3 linked regions of the Oryctolagus cuniculus genome follow. The protein of the gene in region 3 purifies or fractionates together with the protein of the main gene of each other region. This does not show direct contact. Links are inferred from orthologs where the notes say so. Each region holds a gene or a part of one and is shown on either strand. Other genes may lie near its edges. The genes, in order: KIF5A, KIF5C and KLC1.

The links.
Region 1: the proteins of KLC1 (region 3) and KIF5A purify together in Homo sapiens (co-immunoprecipitation; 7 studies listed by BioGRID and IntAct, counting the BioPlex papers as one, with this or other methods). This does not show direct contact. The link is inferred for Oryctolagus cuniculus from reciprocal best matches to the Homo sapiens genes KLC1 and KIF5A.
Region 2: the proteins of KLC1 (region 3) and KIF5C purify together in Homo sapiens (co-immunoprecipitation; 4 studies listed by BioGRID and IntAct, counting the BioPlex papers as one, with this or other methods). This does not show direct contact. The link is inferred for Oryctolagus cuniculus from reciprocal best matches to the Homo sapiens genes KLC1 and KIF5C.

The regions. Positions count from the first base shown.
Region 1 is NC_091442.1:60,179,761-60,183,401, reverse strand, and holds part of KIF5A (kinesin heavy chain), read right to left. Parts: intron 2,792-3,641; coding exon 2,585-2,791; intron 2,326-2,584; coding exon 2,179-2,325; intron 1,696-2,178; coding exon 1,507-1,695; intron 1,182-1,506; coding exon 1,064-1,181; intron 772-1,063; coding exon 707-771; intron 585-706; coding exon 475-584; intron 126-474; coding exon 24-125; intron 1-23. UniProt on the Homo sapiens protein: Microtubule-dependent motor required for slow axonal transport of neurofilament proteins (NFH, NFM and NFL). Can induce formation of neurite-like membrane protrusions in non-neuronal cells in a ZFYVE27-dependent manner.
Region 2 is NC_091434.1:93,393,205-93,397,472, reverse strand, and holds the start of KIF5C (kinesin heavy chain), read left to right. Parts: upstream 1-1,331; 5' UTR 1,332-1,545; coding exon 1,546-1,671; intron 1,672-4,268. UniProt on the Homo sapiens protein: Microtubule-associated force-producing protein that may play a role in organelle transport. Has ATPase activity. Involved in synaptic transmission. Mediates dendritic trafficking of mRNAs.
Region 3 is NC_091451.1:46,448,449-46,452,089, reverse strand, and holds part of KLC1 (kinesin light chain 1), read right to left. Parts: intron 1,411-3,641; coding exon 1,237-1,410; intron 1,105-1,236; coding exon 1,005-1,104; intron 1-1,004. UniProt on the Homo sapiens protein: Kinesin is a microtubule-associated force-producing protein that may play a role in organelle transport. The light chain may function in coupling of cargo to the heavy chain or in the modulation of its ATPase activity.

The sequences.
Region 1 (3,641 bases), on a different chromosome or scaffold from region 3:
GGGCGCGGGTGAGCATCACTCACGTCAGCTCCTGCAGCTTGGCGCTCTTCTCGTGCTCTTCGCTCTTCAGCTTCTCATAGTCGGCCTGCAGCTTCTCCAGCTCCAGCTGCAGCTTCTGATTCAGGCTGTGAGGGCCGCGGGGAGAAAAGCAGAGGTTCACGCGCAGGAAAGGGAAGAAAGCTCTTCAAGCACTCTCCTCCTTGCAGGAGGGAAGCCACTTGGAATGGATGCATCAATGCAGGCCACTGCTTCTGTGACACAGCAAACAGCCCTGAGCTCGCCAATCAGTCAGGCCTCAAGGGGAGGGAGCAGTCCATACTTCTGTATCTCCTGATACAGCTGGGCTGCAAAGCTGTGTCACGGTGGACGGAACGACACGTGGGAGTGGAAGAACCAGATCCGGAAGGGCAGCTGAGCGCGCCCCGCAGGACGGGAGGACCTGGGGGAGACTGGGGCCACCCACGGGAACCTTACTCTTTGAGTTCATCAATGGTCTTTTGCTTCTCATTGATCTCGTCCCGGAGCCGGGCCAGCTGCCGGTGATGGGCCTCCCGGTGACTCTCCATCTGCACCTCCAGAGCCTTCTGCAAATAACCCCACTCCAGGCTCAAAGCCGGACTCCCAAGGCACCCCCATGAAGTCTCTGCTCCTGCGCCACCCTCGGCCCCGGCCCCAGCCCCGGCCCCAGCCCCAGCCCCGCACTCACCTTCACTTCATCCGCATCCTGGGTGTCTGGCTCCTTGTCCTTCAGGGCCACCTCATGCACAGTTTCTATGAGAAAGACAGCTCATACCAAACCCATCTCCTCCAGATAGACCCACAGGTGGTGACCAAAGCTCAGGCTGGGCAGGGGATGGGCTGTTCTGGGCAGGCCCAGGGTTTATGGTTCGTGTGCATGGGCCACGTGCAAAGGCCTGGCTGGGCTCTTAGCAAGAGTCTGCACCCGTGGTTTCAGGCTAAGGCTCTGGGGGACTGTCAGGCTGGTGTTTTGGGGACGTCTGGGACTTTCCCTGGGGGATCTCAGATGCCAGGACAGGTGGGACGGAGTTGAGGAAGGCCTCACCCTGGGCCTGCAGCTTGGCCAGCTCGTCACTCAGGGAGTCGTAGGACTCCTCCAGGTGCCGCTTCTTCAGCTCCACACTCTGCATGTATTCTGTAAGCGAGCGGATCTTGGCCTCATGCTGGGAGGAGAGGGGTGGGAAGAGAAAGAAGATGGCTGGAGCTGGGGACACAACTCCGAGCTGGTGCATACCTGTCAACTCCCATTCTCCCCAGTCCTCCCCCACCACACGCCTTCCAGGACGCTGCAGGTCGGGCGTCATTCCTATGGGGACTCTGTTGGACCCTCTCGGATCAGAGCCTTTGTTTGGCTGAATTCTCCCCACTGGCACCCCAGCTCCTCTGTCCCTGATCTCAGCTGACCTTGACCTTCAGGAGGGCGCTGGGAGCTTTATCCACAACCGCACAATAGCCATGTTCCCCAGGGTTCTCAGCTCAGGCGCTTACCTGGGAGATGAGGAGCTGGCAGGACGACAGCTCGCGCCCAGTCACCTCCATCTTGCGATGACATTCCACCTGCAGGTTCTCCAGCTGCCGGCACCGCTTCACCACGGACTTAACCTCCGATTTGATTTTGCTGATGTAGAGCCGTGCCACCGTGAACTCCTCCTCGATGGCCCCGCTGATCTCCACTGGCTGGGGACGGGCAGAAGAGGAAGACCAGCTGCAGGGGGGTCCCAGGCATCCCTCCCGCCTTCCGCCCAGCCCCTCACACACTTGGGGACTCAGGTGGACAGGTGAACCCCCTGCAGCAGCTCTCCTGGCAATTTGCACTAAATCCCTCCACCTGCGTTGAAAGAACCAAGGGCCACACTCCCCGCTCCCATCTCATCATGTATGATGATTTTCTTTGGTAGGCGAAACAGTGTCTCACTTCCACAGCACTGTGCCCCCACTGCTAAATTCTACGTACATCTCCATTGCTTCTGCACTTGGTACCTCCGCAATGTGTCCTGTTGCCTGAGTCTGTGCAAACCTCTTGCTGTTTTCTGGGTCTAGTGTGAAGGTGTGTCCCCTGGCTCTCTGCACCCCCCTCCCCAGTATCCCCGAGGGTCTGGATTGGGCCACCCTGCACATCCCACCAGGGCCTGACCAGGACTGCTGGGTCTCCCCACTCACCAGCTTGATTTCCCCGTTGCCCACGATGACGCTGAACTCACTCAGGTCCTTCATCAGCCCATTCAGCACCTCGGCAATTCGTTTGCGCTGGTGCCCACTGACCTCCTGGAGTCGCTGCAACTCAGACTCCAGGGACAGCATCGTGGCCTGGGGAACAGCCCCTCTGGTCACTGCCACTGCCATTCCCACTCCCCTCCCTGGCCCAGGCGGAGGCCTATCACTTCGTGCGTGACCCTCAGGGCCGCCACAGAGAGGACACAGGCCCTACAGAAGGGTGTGGAATACAAGGGGCAGAAGGGCAAAGTGCAGGGGCAGGATGGGTGCCAACACCCTACTGCCCAGCCCCCCGGGGAACATGGAGGATGTCCGAGGCCAGGAGCACTCGGGCCACGAGCAGGCCACTCACCACCTTCTGAGACAGCTCGTCCACCAGCAGCTGGTTCTGCTGGCTCTTCTCCTCCACCTCCTGGGACTTCTGGTCGTAGTTCACGGCCAGCTCCTCCAGGGCCTGCAACACTTCCTTCACCTCCTCCTTGGCGGCATCGTTCTCTGACTGCAGGTGGCTCAGCTCCCGCTGCACCTTCTCGTTGTCCCCTCGAGTGGACACCAGCAGCTGCACGGGAGAGGAAGGGCGTGTGAGAGAGCACCTGCTGGCGACTGTCCCCACAGCCCCACAGGCTGGGGAAGATGAGCCCCCGACCCAAAGCGTAAGTTGGAGGGAGTGGGTTTTAGGCTCCACAGCAACAGAATGAAGAAGCACCCAGACTCCAACTCTGAGCTTTCAGAAAAGCCCCAAAGCACTTCCTAGACTTCTGTTAAGTTTTGGGGGGTGACCAGCCCCCAGGCAGAATGCCACTTCCTCCATCCGATTTTTTTTTTTTTTTTTTTTTTGACAGGCAGAGTTAGACAGTGAGAGCGAGACAGAGAGAAAGGTCTTCCTTCCGTTGGTTCACCCCCCTAAATGGCCGCTATGGCCGGCGTGCTGTGCCGATCCAAAGCCAGGAGCCAGGTGCTTCCTCCCAGTCTCTCATGTGGGTACAGGGGCCCAAGCACCCGGGTCATCCTCCACTGCCTTCCCAGGCCACAGCAGAGAGCTGGACTGGAAGAGGAGCAACCAGGACTAGAATCCGGTGCCCATATGGGATGCTGGAGCCGCAGGTGGAGGATTAACCAAGTAAGCCATGGCGCCAGCCCTCCAATTTTTTTGTTGTTGTTATTTATTTTATTTGAAAGGCAGAATTAGAGAGAGAGGGAGAGACACACAGAGAGAGAACCATCCACTGGTTCATTTCCCAAATGGCTTCATTTGGTTTCCCAGGTGGATGGCAGGGGCCCAAGCACTTGGGCCATCTTCTGCTGCTTTCCCAGACCATAGCAGGGAGCTAGACAGGAAGTAGTGCAGCCACGACTTGAAATGGCACTCATGTGAGGTGCTGGTGTTGGAGGCAGTGGCTTTACCTGCT
Region 2 (4,268 bases), on a different chromosome or scaffold from region 3:
GAAGGGGCAGGAGATGGGGCCAAATAAGTTGGCAGAAATCTGACCACGAGAGCCAGGGTGTATCCAGTAAAGAACTTTGGACTTGGTCCAATGTATGCTCTGTTCCTTCTGCAGTGCTCCAAAGAGGCATTACGTAAAGGTGCTGTAACTGAAATGTCCTAAACCTGGGAGTGACAGGCAGTCTTCAGTTGCTGCGAAATTACTGAAATAGCTCGCTAAGGCTGTGGGTGGGAACTGGTGTATTTGTGTTTTGTTTTTTGTTATTGATATGGCCAAAGTACCCAACTTTCATCAGATGTTAAAAGAGTCCCTGACCCCAAATAGGTAGCAAGTCATGAACTGTGCTACCTGTGTACAGGCATTTTCAGGTGTAACTGGCTTCCAAATATCCATGCAGGTTTATCCACTCCACCCCTAACTTTCCTCAAAACTTAAAAAAAAGAGATTTATTTATTTGAAAGCAGAGTTACAGAGAGGCAGAGGAGAGAGAGAGAGAGAGAGAGAGGTTTTCCACCCACTGGTACACTCCCCAGATGGCCCAAACCGCTAGAGCTGCACCGATCCGAAGCCAGGAGCCAGGAGCTTCTTCTGAGTCTCCCACGTGGGTGCAGGGGCCCAAGAACTTGGGCCATCTTTCACTGCTTTCCCAGGCTATAGCAGAGAGCTGGATCAGAAGTAGAGCAACTGGGACTAGAACCGATGCCCATATGGGACCCCGGCACTGCAGGCGGCAGCTTTACCGGCTTCGCCACAGTGCCGGCTCCTCCTCAATACTCTTAAGCACAGAGAAAACCCCTCAAATGTGTCATAGGATGTGATTCTCCTTTGGAATCAGGAAAAGATGTAAAGAGATGGTCCAGACCTGGTTATTTCTAGAGATTTTGAGCTAGAATATTGGATGAGCTCTCCATCCTGTTTTTGGCTTGGGCAGCCCTATCAGGCTTGTAGGCCGTCGGAGATCACTCCGGGGCACTGTCCATGTCCTACCCAAAGCCAATTCCTAGCATCTTGGCCCTTTCACCTGCAAATAAAGTGACTACGTGTCCCGGCATGCGCCGCGCTCCGGGCCGGCGGAGGCGGGGCGGACCGCCGCGGTGACGTCACCGCCCCCGGGCTGGCAGCGGGAGGGCGGGGCGGAGGGGCGGGCCGGGCAAGCGGCGGAGCGCGCTGGTGCTGATGCAGGATGGCTGGGCGCTCTGGAGCCCGGGAGGTCTGAGCCGGGCGAGGCTCGCTCCTTGCGCATCGCCTGGGCGACCCGCCGCGGGGTCGCAGGCAGGTGGGCCGGGGGTGCCGGGCAGGGCAGAGCCAGGTCAGGCGGGTCTGCAGCCGGCGGGGCCGGAGCCCGGGGGGCTGTCCACCGTCCCGGGCTCGGAGCGGCTGGAGCTGCCCGGCCGGCCGAGTTCGCGATGACCTGCTGAGAAGCGCCGCGGGAGGCTGCAGGAGGCGGCCCTGCTGCGGGCGGTACGGTAGCGGCCTCGTCCCTCAGAGCGCCCAGCCGCCCCCCACCCCCACCATCCCCGCGCCCCCTCCCTGCAGCCGGCCGCGATGGCGGATCCAGCCGAATGCAGCATCAAAGTGATGTGCCGGTTCCGGCCCCTCAACGAGGCGGAGATCCTCCGCGGGGACAAATTCATCCCCAAATTCAAAGGCGACGAGACCGTGGTGATCGGGGTAAGTGGCCGAACGTCCGGCCGCCCCTCCTGCTTCGCGCCGCTGGCGCCCCGACGCCCTGGACGGGGCGGAGATGTTCCGCCGCCCCTTCGGACGTCCCCGCTGGCCGCCCTCCCGGGGCAGGACGGAGACCCCTCACCTCGCGCTCCGTGGTTACCCCCTGGGTGGCGGGGCGGGCCCCGGGGGTGGGGGCAGGGGGCGAGGCAGAGCCCGGCGCCGCCATTGTTCGCGAGGTGGGGGCCCAGGTGGGCCCATTGTTCCCCACACTCTCCACGCTGCGTGGATAGTGTGTTCAGGTCACCCCCTAGCAGGAGTGCCTGGCCCCCCATGAGCTATGAGCTCCATGGATGCTTCCAGGCTTCAGTTCGATTTATCAAGCACTTTGCCTCTCTTCTCACGCCCTTAGCAAACAGGGAAGAAGAAAAGGCTTAGGAAGAATCCATGGCTAGGCCCCGGGCTCCCTGCCGTGGGTTTCACCTTGCTCCGCGCTGGTCCGGTGGAGTGCTTGGGCGGGGGCGGGGGGAAGGGCACTGGTGGCTCCCTAGTCCCCAGGAGGCCTGTGTATCTCCTGCTTGCTGTCACCCAGGCTGCCCTGAATGTGAGCCGGGGCTGGCTTTCTGCCGCTTGATCGAGCCCCCCACCTGATGTCCGCAGACCCTGCGGTATGCTTCGCGGGGCGTGGAGAGGAGGCTGCTTTTGCATCTGTACGGCAAGGGGGCACAGATCGCAGCCCTGCAGCCCCTCTGTGCCAAGAGCAGAAGTTACTTTGTGTGGCTAGGGCCCCCTCCCTCTGGGTCTCCAGTCCCCACTTTCCCCCCTCCCCCTCCCCGACTCAGCTCCCTCTCCGCAGCCTGGGCTGCCGGTGGGGGAGGGAGCACCAGTGGGTTTCAGTTCTTAAAGGGCTATGTCCGATGAAGTCCGCCAGCCCTGCCTCCAGTCCGCTGTCCCTAGCGTGTGTGGCTGACGGTGCCCTTTGTATGCAAACCGCGTGGGGAGGGACCCGTTAATGGGAGCCTCCCGGTCCCCGCTGACACGTTCTTGGCAGCCCGCTCCAGGCTGCTCATGCAGCCTTCCCGTCCTCAGCATTGATTAAGTGATGTCATCCCGATCACTGAGCATGCTCCAACCAGCCCCCTTCCCCCCCTCCCATTCTCCCAGTGGCTGGTGTATTTAGGTCAAGTGATTGACAGGTGACAGTTTTCCGAGGGTATCTCCGGAGTCCTCCCGGCCTGCATCCAGCTACAGAAGCCGACACACCAGCATCTATGCCGAGGGTGTCTGCCGCAGTCCCTGTGAAGGGCCCGGGGGACAGCAGGTGCAAGGGGTAGGAAGCTGCTGTGCAAGCCAGAGGAACAGAGGTGAAGCTCTGGCCTCGGGGCTTCATCCTGTACCTCCTTTGCCAAGGCAGCTCCCTTGACGACGCCTTCTCTTCTCCCCATTTTCACAGTCAGGAAACCATGACCTCCAAATGCTGTGTGGATAGGCGTTCATTCTGACTGCTGACCTATGAGGGAGGAAAGAGTGTTTTCTCTCTGCTTGGTGTTAACTTGCAGGGGAGATGTATGGTACAATTATTGATGGGAAGGGAAATTCTACAGTAAATGGCAGCTGTGGGCTAGTGACATTTCTGTGTGCTACTTACTAGTGCCCATGTGGCTTGTTTGGGTTACAGCTCTCTGCCAGGCTCTTCCTGCAGCCTTATCTGGGATTTCTTGAGCCAGGCTATGGGAGTTCCTGGGGACATCGAGTCCCTGCCCCTTGGCTTGTAACAATTTTTTAAAACAAGTAACTGCAGAATTAGGACATGTTCTGGTGACCCTGTTTTTTTCCCAGAGGTTTCAAAGAAGAACTTGAAGAAGTTCTTTTGCCACTTCCTCTCTGAACCCCCTTTCTTCTTCCCATCTTTCTCTTCTCTCACTTCCCCCTTTAACCTCCGCCCCCATCACCAGGACCAATGGAGCGGGTTAATAAATCATCTTCTTTTATATGTGTGCAAAGCAGAGATCCTAATTTCCAAGTAACTTTCTTGAGTATTATAATACTATAAGATGTAATCCCCATCTAAGTATATATATTGTTGACTAAGAAAATTAAAACTAAGCCACCGTATAAAATAAGAATGTGAATATATGCAATACTCTTCAGCTGTAAAGTGGTCTTTCTCATCCTACTGTAATCTTTGAATATAACAGGCAGTTTTCATTGTTAAGGTAAATTTTTATTGAAATAAAATATTCCTATGGAAGAGCATTATATCATAAGTGTCTGGTTTTAGGCGTTCACAACGTAGATGCTCCCTATAACTACCTCACAGACTAAGAAACTTCAGAAGTCCCCATAGTACTCCTTCTGGTCCCTAACTATCTCCTCCCCCCCAACCAAGGGTAGCCATTGTTTTGACTTGGCTCATTTTTCTTTGTTTTACTTTCTACGTGTAAAACTATGCAGTATGGTCTCTCACATACAGTATGGTGTGTTTCTTGTGATGCACATGATGCTTGTCAAATCCAGCCCCATTGTGCCGTATCCCATGATTTGAAAGTACTGCAGTTTGTGCCTCAGTGAGCTGTTGATGGATATTTGTAGAGTTTCTGGCT
Region 3 (3,641 bases):
GCACAGCTCCGGCACTGCAGCCAATTGGGGAGTGAACCAGCGGATGGAAGACCTCTCTCTGTCCCTACCTCTCTGTAACTCTTGCAAATAAAATGATGGCCTTTAAAAAAAAAAAAAAAAGAGGGGCCAGTGCCGTGGCTCACTTGGTTAATCCTCCCCCTGCAGTGCTGGCATCCCATATGGGTGCTGGGTTCTAGTTCCAGTTGCTCCTCTCCTGTCCAGCTCTCTGCTGTGGCCTGGGAAGGCAGTGGAGGATGGCCCAAGAGCTTGGCCCCTGCACCCGCATGGGAGACCAGGAAGAAGCACCTGGCTCCTGGCTTTGGATCAGCACGGTGCACCGGCCGTAGCGGCCATTTGGGGAGTGAACCAGCGAAAGGAAGACCTTTCTCTCTGTCTCTCTCTGTCTATAACTCTACCTGTCAAATAAAAAAATAAAATAAAAATAAAAAAAGAATACTATATTTAAAAAGAAAAGAAGAAACCAACCCCCCTGCTGTGCCTCCACAGTGGCATGCACGGCCTGGCTGGCAACGGCAGGCCACCGTCCTGTTTCTGCGTCATTGTGCAGCACGGTCACGCCGGCGTATCTGAAGTCTTCAGTGGCCATTAGCGCTGAGAAAACGGCTGTGAGCTTCACAGGCAGGTGAACTAGTGCGGCCCGAGGCAGGCATTGGTGGCCTCCCCATGGGCCTGGAACTCAGGGCAAGGCCAGGGCAGGGGGATGAGAGCTCAGCCCAGGTCTCCCCACGGGCGGCAGGGACTCAGTCACTGAGCCGTCACCACTGCCTGGCGGGGCCGATGAGCAGGAAGCCGCAGGCAGGAGCAGAGGCAGCACGGACTCCTTGTGGGACAGGACACGCAGCCGCCCGACCCGGTGACTCAGCGCTTGGCTACACAGTGGTCCCAGATCGCATTCTACCCTGGAAAAGGTCCTAAGGACTTCACTATCACCAACTGCACGCTGCAAACCACGTCACAGCGTGAACGTCAGGAGAGCGTCTTACCGTCTACAGATCCGAACTCCCTCTCGTGCGCCCGAGTGAGGATCTCCTTATACAGTGTTTCTGCTTGCTTGAACTTCCCTTGTTTCAGGTAGCAGGAAGCCTTGAAGTGAAAGAAAGAGTTTGGTGTCCTTCACACGGCAGCAACGCACACACCCCGATGGGCAGGCAGAGTTACGGCTGCTCTGAGTCTGCAAGAACAGCCCAGGCCACGCCACGGCCCGCCGTCACCTACCAGGTTATTTTTCGTCTTGGCCACGTTGGGGTCATCGGGGCCCAGCTTTGTCTGGTAGATCTCCAGGGCTCTCTGGTAGTAATACTCCACTTCCTCATACTTGCCCTGGTTCTGGCACAGCAAGGCCAAGTTATTCAGCTGCTTGGCAACATCAGGGTGATCCTTGCCCAGAACCTAGGGATGAACACAGTCAGTCAGAAACGCAGGCTCGCGTCTCTGCAGCCGTCCACTCCGCACGCTCCTGTCACAGCTCCTTCTAAAGCGGAAACGCGACTGCGCGCCACCTCCAGGCTGCACACCTCCAACGGCTCCCACGGCACACCAGTAAGAGGAGCGGCGCCGGAGCCCTTTGAACTCCCATTTTCATTCTTTAAAGTCCATTTACTTATTTGAAAGACAGAGTTACACAGAGACAGGGAGACATGGAGAATGAGATCTTCATCCTTTGGTTCACTCCCCAGATGGCTCCGACAGCCGAGGCCAGGCAGGCCTAAGTCAGGACCCTGGAACTCCATCCGGGGCTCCCACGCACATGCAGAGGCCCAGGTACTTGATCCATCTTCTGCTGCTTAGGCACATGAGCAGGGAGTAGGAGTGGAAGTGGAGCAGCCATAGTAAGCGGCAGCTTTACCTCCTCTGGGCTGCCAGCTTGGTAAGCGGCAGCTTTACCCGCTAGGCCGCACTGCAGGCCCTGGGGGGAGGGGACACCGTGCTCGTCTTCGCCGGCTGCCCTGTTTGACTCGAGTCCTCCAGGGCAGCCCTGAGCCATCAGGACGCAGCGCTCTGCAGACAAGGGAACTGCACGTGATGAAGACCCTGTTACCCACCACTCTCCCTGCTTCTGGGCCCACACCTCTCCCAGCGCAGCTGCTCACCCTGAGGGCTCTCCTCAGCGCCTCAGAGGGGAGGTCCCCGCCTCCACAGTCACTCACCAGCACATCACCCGCTTCTCCACCTTTACAGCTGCCCAAGCTTTCCTGCTTATTCTTTGTTGCCGAAGCACCACTCACTGCAGCGTACACTGTATCGAAGGCCGAATAAACACTCACCAACTCCTCTCCTGCCCCCTACCTGCCCCTCACCCCTGCAGCGGGCTGCCCTTACCACACCCCAGGAGCTTCTCCCAGGTCTCCAACATGGGTGACAGGGGCCCAAATGCTTGGGCCATTCTCCGCTGCTTTCCCAAGCCTTGGCAGAGAGCTGGATCAGAAGTGGAGCAGCCGGGACACGGAGCGGCATGCGGGACGCTGGCGCTGCAGGGGGCGGTTTTAACCCACTGCTTCACGCTGCTGAGGCACTTTCAACTCAGAAGTTCAAGGTTCAGTGCAGGGGCCTGTGCTGTGGCAGTGGGTTAGGCTACCACCTGTGAGGTCAGATCCCACATGAATGCTGGTTCGAGTCCTAACCACTCCACTTCTGACCCAGTTTCGCTAGCTGGGAAAGCAGCAGAAGATGGTCCAAACGCTTGGGGCTCCTGCTATGGAGACCTGGATGGAGCTCCTGGTTTCTGGTTTCAGCCTGGCCCAGCCCCGGCTGTTGCGGCCATTGCAGAGTGAATCAGCGGATGGAAGATCTCTCTCCTTCTCTGTTTCTCCCTCTCTGTAACTCTTTCAAATAAATAAAATAAATTATTAAAAGAAAATCACCTGTACAATTTTATAATGAGCTTCTTCTCATTTTTCCTCTGCCTATTCTTTGCCATTATGGCCCAAAACTAAGTGGCCAATCTCTCAGTGTCACTGATAAGTAACTGCAGACAATGCCCAGCTAATCTGCCTGTGGTTACTCGCTGTGCAGCTGACGGCCGACTTTGCTAACGTCCCGCACAGCCACAGAGCTGCCGGCACAAGCACTCGCCGCTCTGACTCCTGGCGACCACCAAAGGTAGCAGAGAACTGGATAGCCACGATGCTGACTTCACCCACACTCTAGCTCATCTTCAGTTCTGAGAATAACGGTTTCAGTCTCTATCCCCATAAACACACTTGGGGGATTTGCATCTAACTGAACAACTTCCCGACAAGCAGACCCCGTGACACCTGCGATGTCAGGACCCCTGCTCGCGGCCGGCAGGGCTGCCCTTTCTAGCACACACCCCTCTCAGGTGAGTCTGATCCACCTGTTTCCCAGCTTTCTATCCTATTAAACAAGCTATTTTCAGGAAACACTCAGTAATGACAAAACACAATAGTCACTTCTCAGGACTTAAGCCTGGTGCCAGCGCTGTGGTGTAGTGGGTAAAGCCGCTGCCTACAGTGCTGGCTGGCCGCCACCGGTTAGAGTCCCAGCTGCTCTGCTTCCCATCTGGCTCTCTGCTATGGCCTGGGAAAGCAGCAGAAGAGACCCAGAGGAGGCTCCTGGTTCCCGATCAGTGCAGCTCCAGTCATTGCAGCCATTTGGAGAGT